2 linked regions of the Callithrix jacchus genome follow. The protein of the gene in region 1 interacts with the protein of each later gene in a pairwise test. Links are inferred from orthologs where the notes say so. Each region holds a gene or a part of one and is shown in the gene's direction. Other genes may lie near its edges.

Region 1 (3,821 bases):
GCTAGCATGAATCTTGATGGCTCTGCACAAGATCCTGAAAAGAGGGAATATTCTTCTGTCTGTGTTGGCAGAGAAGATGACATTAAAAAATCTGAAAGAATGACAGCTGTTGTCCATGATAGAGAAGTGGTCATTTTCTACCACAGGGGAGAATATCATGCCATGGATATTCGCTGTTACCGTAAGATTTTATTTTTCATTTGTAAAACTTTAAACCATAGGGGCCGGGCGCGGTGGCTCAAGCCTGTAATCCCAGCACTATGGGAGGCCGAGGCGGGTGGATCACGAGGTCAAGAGATCGAGACCATCCTGGTCAATTTGGTGAAACCCCGTCTCTACTAAAAATGCAAAAAATTAGCTGGGCATGGTGGCGCGTGCCTGTAATCCCAGCTACTCAGGAGGCTGAGACAGGAGAATTGCCTGAACCCAGGAGGCGGAGGTTGCGGTGAGCTGAGATTGTGCCATTGCACTCCAGCCTGGGTAACGAGCAAAACTCCATCTCAAAAAAAAAAAAAAAAAAACTTTAAACCATAAAAGCATAAAAATTTCATTTTTTTAGTGACTACATGTAATATTCAATTCCATTTCAGACTCAGGAGGACCTTTACATTTGGGAGATATAGAGGTATGTAAATTTATTTTCAGCAAATTCAGATGTTTTCTATTTATATTCTTATTTCATTATTTATTCATAAATAACTTAATTGGTTTGAACTATATTTCACTGGTTTGAATATGATTTCAAGTATTTTGGGAATTCATAAGATAAATATGAGAAATATGCATATCTTTTGACCTAGCAATTATACTCCATATTCTATGGCCATAATTGCACTGATGTTTAAGTATTTATATAGGAATGATTCAGTGTAGCATTATTTATTATAATGAATAATTGAAGGCAACCTAAATGTTTTAACAATAGAAAATTGGTTAAATAAATTATGGTACAGCCATGCTATGGAATAACTGTGCCATGCAATCATTAAATTAATGAGGAAGATCTGTATGAGTATGGAGAGATGTGAACAATGTATTTATGACTGAAAAAAGCAAATCATAAGATAATATTTCTTATGAGATCCCATTTTTAATCAACCAGAATATTCACTTTTTACTTTATACATTCTGCATAATTTGAATCTTTTACAATGAGTATATGTTACTTTATAACAAAAATATACAGTATAAATATATTTTTAAAGAAGTAAACCACACTTTGAAGTCTTAACCGAGGAGGAATAGGGGAAACTGTCTTTGCTTCCTTGGATTCCAAAACTAGTCACTCAGTTTCTTGTTTCTTACTTTATGAAATTGGTCTCGCTCTAACTGATGCAAAGTAGAAGCTTGAACTTAGCATTCCGCACTCTCTACACTTGATGAGTGTACATACTGTCCTCATGTTAAAGAACATATGTGTTTATTTTTTCTATTTTTCCCATTGTCCAAGCCCACATATGTATGTTTAAATTATGAAAATGTGAATGCTGACAGTTTTATGAAAGTACAAATCAGTATTCCTGCACTTTTGGTGATAGAGGGGAAAATGAAAGCACCCACTTACGTTTGTAAGCTGATAATAGTTTCATAGAATTTTTCCCAGTTTCAGTCCATAATGAGAGTTTGAAGACCTTGCTACTTAGTGTTGTCCATAGACCAGCAACCTTGGTGTCACATGGGAGCTTCTTGGACATTCAGAATCGTTTCCCTTAGAGTTCCCCAACCCCTTAGAGTTACTGCATTTAAACAGAGAGGCATGCATTTAAACAAGATACAAGTGATTCCCATGTTTTTTAAAGTATAAGAAACACTTCACTAAGACAGTTAAAAAGTTGGGAATCGGCTGGGCGCGGTGGCTCAAGCCTGTAATCCCAGCACTTTGGGAGGCCGAGGCGGGTAGATCACGAGGTCAAGAGATCGAGACCATCCTGGTCAATTTGGTGAAACCCCGTCTCTACTAAAAATGCAAAAAATTAGCTGGGCATGGTGGCGCGTGCCTGTAATCCCAGCTACTCAGGAGGCTGAGGCAGGAGAATTGCCTGAACCCAGGAGGCGGAGGTTGCGGTGAGCCGAGATCGCGCCATTGCACTCCAGCCTGGGTAACAAGAGCGAAACTCCGTCTCAAAAAAAAAAAAAAAAAAAAAAAGTTGGGAATTAACTACCTTGGATCACAGATTGCTTTTCTGTTATCATATGCACCCATGCCTTTAGTAACTCCTTTAGAATTTATATCTAGACCTTACAATTCTTCTAGCAGCTAGTGAAAATTCCTATAGAGGCACTTGACGTCCTTGCCCCATTTCTATCAAGGAGGCACGTAAACACCTAATAGATAACAGCACAGCTGCAGTCACATGGTTTAGTTGCCTGAGCATGTCAGTCTTCTGATAGAGCTCTAACTGGCTTTCTAATCAACTGCAAAATAACTTGATGACTATTCTCAGATTAGGTTCTGCTTATGCTGAATAATTTGTAAATAGGAGGAAAAAAGAGAAGCTAACCTGTTTTTTAACCTGGTTCTTCTGCAGCAGATTCTGTTCAGAGTCTATGATGTATCAAGAACTTGACATGTCAGAATTTTAATGAGTTATTTTCTTCCCCAGGATTTTGATGGACGACCGTGTATAGTTTGCCCCTGGCATAAATACAAAATTACTTTGGCAACAGGAGAAGGTCTGTACCAGTCTATAAACCCTAAAGATCCATCAGCAAAACCCAAGTGGTGCTCCAAAGGAATAAAGCAAAGGATTCATACAGTGACAGTAGATAATGGGAATATTTATGTGACTCTTTCTAATGAACCTTTTAAGTGTGACTCTGATTTTTATGCCACTGGAGACTTCAAAGTAATTAAGAGTTCTTCCTGATAAAAAATACGTAGCAATGAAAAATATTGTGTATGCTTAAAAACATTTTTAGAATAACTCTGCTTCAGTTTTAAAGGTGATGATTTTTTTCAACGTAGGCACAACAATTTAAACATTATATAAATTTGAGAGGTTTAAGAGCGTACATACTTAGTATGATGTAAGGATTATCATCAGGATCAATAGAATACATTTTATCTAATCCTCTGGATTAATTAGAACCTGAAGGTTATAGGTTTGGGATGTTCTGTTTAAGAAGGATGAAAATAAATTTGGAGTAAACAACGTAAATAATACGTAAAAGTTAATGTTTAGTCAGAAAAAAATTTTTTAATTTTTAAAATAGGAAAAAATCCCTGTTTGACATAGCAGACTTAATTCTGGAAAAGTTTTAATATATACAAAGTAAACAGAATATATAATGAACTTCCATCGCTCAGCTCTAACAGTTATCAGCATTCTTCTATTCTTTTTTTATTTATTACCTCTATGGATTCCCTACCTCTCCTATTTGATTGTTATTTTTACATTTTTAGGTAAATTTTAAATACATTGAAATGTTCAAACCTGAACTGTACAGTTCTCCCAAATAATATAGCAGACTTTTTATACTTAAAAAATGCCTCCAAAAATGAGCTAAGTTTACCTGCTGAACTTGAAACTTAACCACTGTCCTAGACATTAAAACCAAATAAACCTTGGCTTAGTTTCTCTGATCAAGGCAGATCTTGAAGTAAGGAAGCCACACACAGCTGCTGCCGAACCATTGGAGATGTAAAGTCTCCTATTCAATGAACCTGTGTACTTTGAATGCCTATATGAAATTTTCAAATAAAGATTTTTAACATTTTTTAGAACTTTGTGAATGTATGCACAACTAAGTGTCTCCTATAAATGTTTTAGAGAGGAGATCTAGGGTTCTGTTCCTTGGAGTTCCCAGGCAAGGTTGATGTT
Region 2 (3,907 bases), on another chromosome or scaffold:
CACCTGAGGTCAGGGGTTCGAGACCAGCCTAGCCAACATGGGGAAAGCCTGTCTCTACCAAAACACAAAAATTAGCAGGGTGTGGTGGTGGGCTCCTGTAGTCCCAGCTACTCAGGAGGCCGAGGCAGGAGAATCGCTTGAACCCGGGAGGCAGAGGTTGCAGTGAGCCGAGATCGTGCCATTGCACTCCAGCCTGGTGACTCAGCAAGACTGTCTCAAAACAAACAAACAAAATATTTGGTAGGTGAAAGAAACCACATGTTACACGACCCCATCGATATGCGATATCCACTACAGCGCAATCCATAGGAACCAACGGCAGATGAGTGGCACCCGGCCGGGGATACCGTTAAGGAGCACAGATTGGCGTCTGGGATGATGAAAAAGCTCTGACCTAGACAGTGGTGATGGCTGCATTAAACTGTAAATAGTCTGGCAATTTATGTCGACTTTTATCACGGTGTTTTTAACAAAAAGCTCTAAGGTGGTACAGCAGAGTGAGCGCTGCACACGTATTTACTATTATTGGGTTACATTCCAGGCACTCAGTAAACTTCACTGCCCTGAAGAAACACCTGCTGTGAGTCAGGCACCCGACGGTTGTTACCTGTTTAATTCTGACAATCTGAGAAGAAACTATTACCCTCATTTTATGATAAATGAGTAAATAAATCCCAGCAAGCATCACAGTAGATTCAAGAGGCGGAATAAACTTATTTCCAGTGCGAAATCCATGCCGAAATTGAGAGTTGTAGTAATATATATGGCCTGGTGCAGTGGCTCACGCCTGTCATCCCAGCACTTCGGGAGGTCAGGCGGGCAGATCACCTGAGGTCGGGGGTTCGAGATCAGCCTGGCTAAGATGGTGAAACGCCGTCTCTACTAAAAATACAAAATTAGCTGGGCGTGGTGGCGCTCACCCGTAATCCCAGCTACTGAGATGCTGAGGCAGGAGAATCGCTTGGACCATGGAAGTTGCAGTGACCAGTGAGCCGGAATCACGCCACTGCACTCCAGCCTGGGCGCCAGAGCGAGATTCCATCTCCAAAAACAATAATTATATATTTATGTATGTATATGATTATTATATATTTCTCTAATACGTATAAGCACGCTCCACTATGCCCGGCTACTTTAAATTTTTTTTTTGTAAATATGCGGCTTCCCTATGTTGCTCAGGCCGGTAAATATTATTTTCCATATGGTGAACCCCTAAAACGGGGGGCCTTGGATTTAGGGCGATTCAGAGGGCCCCGGTCGGCACCGACGGAGATTGAGCGCGCAGGGACCAGGGACAAGGCCGTGGACCCCAGGGAGGAGAGGCTGCAGCGCGGCGCCCCCTGGAGGCCGCGGGACCCCGTGCGGGTCGGCGCAGGCGCGGCGGGTTCGGGCGCGGGGATGGCGCTGTCCGCGGAGGACCGGGCGCTGCTGCGCGCCCTGTGGAAAAAGCTGGGCAGCAACGTCGGCGTGTACACGACAGAGGCCCTGGAGAGGTGCGGCGGGGCTGGGCGCCCCCGCCCCCCGGGGCCCTTCCTCCCCAGGCCCCCCGGACGCGCCTCACGCCCGCTCCTCTCGTAGGACCTTCCTGGCCTTCCCCGCCACCAAGACCTACTTCTGTCACCTGGACCTGAGCCCCGGCTCCGCGCAGGTCAGAGCGCACGGCCAGAAGGTGGCGGACGCGCTGAGCCTCGCGGTGGAACGCCTGGACGACCTACCCCGCGCGCTGTCCGCGCTGAGCCACCTGCACGCGCGCCAGCTGCGAGTGGACCCGGCCAGCTTCCAGGTGAGCGGCGGCCCGGCTAGGCCCCTGTCCCCGGGAGGGCCCCCCGCGGGGCGGGTGCGGGCGACTGAGCCTCGCGCGCCCCCTGCAGCTCCTCGGCCACTGCCTGCTGGTGACCCTCGCCCGGCATTACCCCGGAGACTTCAGCCCCGCGCTGCAGGCGTCGCTGCACAAGTTCCTGAGCCACGTGGCCTCGGCGCTGGCTTCCGAGTACCAGTGAACTACGGGTGGGTGGCCGCGGGACCCCCAGGCGACCCTCCCCGTGTGAGTAAAGCCCCCGAGGCTCACTCTTCCTGCCGTGCTCTCTCTCTCTCGGGGGCTGGACGTAGTGAGGGAAAGGCGCCGTCCCTCCCCAAGGAGAGGCCGGGGGCGCGCTCCCAGTGTCCAGATCCAGGCGCGCCCCGTCCCACCCCCGACAGGTTTGAGGTCTCCGCCAACGGGGCACTGACCTGGGTACAGGCTGACCCTCCTGGTTGGGGTGGCAGGTGGGGACCGCGGGCCGCGAGGGCGTCCTCCCCACTCGGGACCAAGTACGTGGCCCGGGCCCACCGCGAGAACTCCGCACCTCCAGCCTCAGCGCGCGGGGCAGCCTCGGAGCACGTTAGGGAACAGCGCCCTCTCCCGGCGCCGGCCGGCACCTGCGCCGCGCGCAGCCCGTTAGCGGCGCCGCGGGACTGGGGATGGCGGGGGCAGGTTGTGGCGAAGTCCTTTTACTGCCAGGGCCTGGGGCTGGGCCTGGGGGAGGAGGTGCGACCAACCCCAGTACCTAGTCACATAGGAGCCGGCCCGCAGCCCCGCCTTCGCCCACACTACTATGGAGAGGGAAGCTAGGCCTTCTTTGTTCTATTCGCCCCGTAACCAATCGTGGTCATTGCAGAACTTCCCAACACAACGCCTGCTGCGCCTTCCTGTGCATCGCAGGCCCAGGAGCGGGTGCAGCACATCCTTCTGTTCCCACGTGACACGCGGCACACTGTGTCATGTGTAGACAAGAACAGGACACGGCTGTCAGAGCCAAGAGCACGTGTGACACAGGCATTCCACGCCCACACACGCGGCAGACGGCCCACACAGAGCCGTCACATTTAACGCGCATCCTGCCTAACATAGTGAAACCCTGTCTCTACAAGACTACGATTAGCCGGGCCTGGCGGCATGTGCCTGTGGTCCCAGCTACTTGGGAGGCTGGGGCGGGAGAACTGCGTGATCTTGGGAGGGAGTCTGCAGTGAGCGAAGCGTGCAGTTGCACTCCAGTCTGGGCAGCTGGTCCACAGAAACAAGTCAATCGTCAGTATGACAGCATCTGTCATTGCCCTCTCCTGCATGTGCACCACCCGTTGCGTCCTTGGCCTGTTTTCCCACTGTGGTGTTGCCCAAAGGAGCATTTATTCTGTGGACCTGTAGACCTGCAGTCCATCTTACATCATGTTTATTTATTTATTTTTTTTTGAGTCGAAGTTTTGTCACACAGGCTGGAGTGCAATGGTGTGATCTCAGCTCACTGCAACTGCTGCACCTCTGCACCCGGAGTAAGCACTTGGAGCCCAAGAGGCTCAGGGCCCCTGGGGAAGCCCCAGGCTCTGACTCCTTTAAGTAGGCATGGTCACCTACTTGGGCCTGGGTTACATCTGGAGCATCAATGAAGTTGGGAGAGCCAGACCCCATCCTTTCTGGAGACGTGGGGTTGGACAGAGCTGGCCCTGGCTCAAGGGCTCAGACCACTTGGTACAGAAGCCACCCAGAGGTGCAGATCTGAGGAGCAGCTGTGGGCTCTCCACACTGTTGGGGAGCCTCACAGACCCACTCAAGTCCAGGAAAGATTGCCTCCCAGTTCAGCCTCCCAAGTAGCTGGGATTACAGGCATGCGCCACCATTCCCAGCTAATTTTGTATTTTTAATAGAGATGGGGTTTTGTCATGTTGGTCGGGCTGGTCTCGAACTCCCGACCTCAGGTGATCCACCAGCCTCAGCCTCCCAAAGTGCTGGGCTTAGAGGCTCGAGCCACCCTGCCCAGCCTGCACTCTGCTGTTTTTTGTTTTGTTTTAGGCAGAGTCTCCCACTGTCACCTAGGCTGGAGTGCAGTGGTGCAATGCTGGCTCACTGCAACTTCCACTTCCTAGGTTCAAG

Evidence for each region.
Region 2: the proteins of RFESD (region 1) and HBQ1 interact in binary tests that used the Homo sapiens proteins (3 or more experiments, as listed by UniProt). The two-hybrid records come from large-scale screens. The link is inferred for Callithrix jacchus from reciprocal best matches to the Homo sapiens genes RFESD and HBQ1.

What each region holds. Positions count from the first base shown.
Region 1 is NC_133503.1:114,920,528-114,924,348, reverse strand, and holds the end of RFESD (Rieske domain-containing protein), read left to right. Parts: intron 1-5; coding exon 6-181; intron 182-590; coding exon 591-625; intron 626-2,603; coding exon 2,604-2,867; 3' UTR 2,868-3,719; downstream 3,720-3,821.
Region 2 is NC_133513.1:2,457,489-2,461,395, forward strand, and holds HBQ1 (hemoglobin subunit theta-1), read left to right. Parts: upstream 1-1,371; 5' UTR 1,372-1,398; coding exon 1,399-1,493; intron 1,494-1,578; coding exon 1,579-1,783; intron 1,784-1,871; coding exon 1,872-2,000; 3' UTR 2,001-3,220; downstream 3,221-3,907.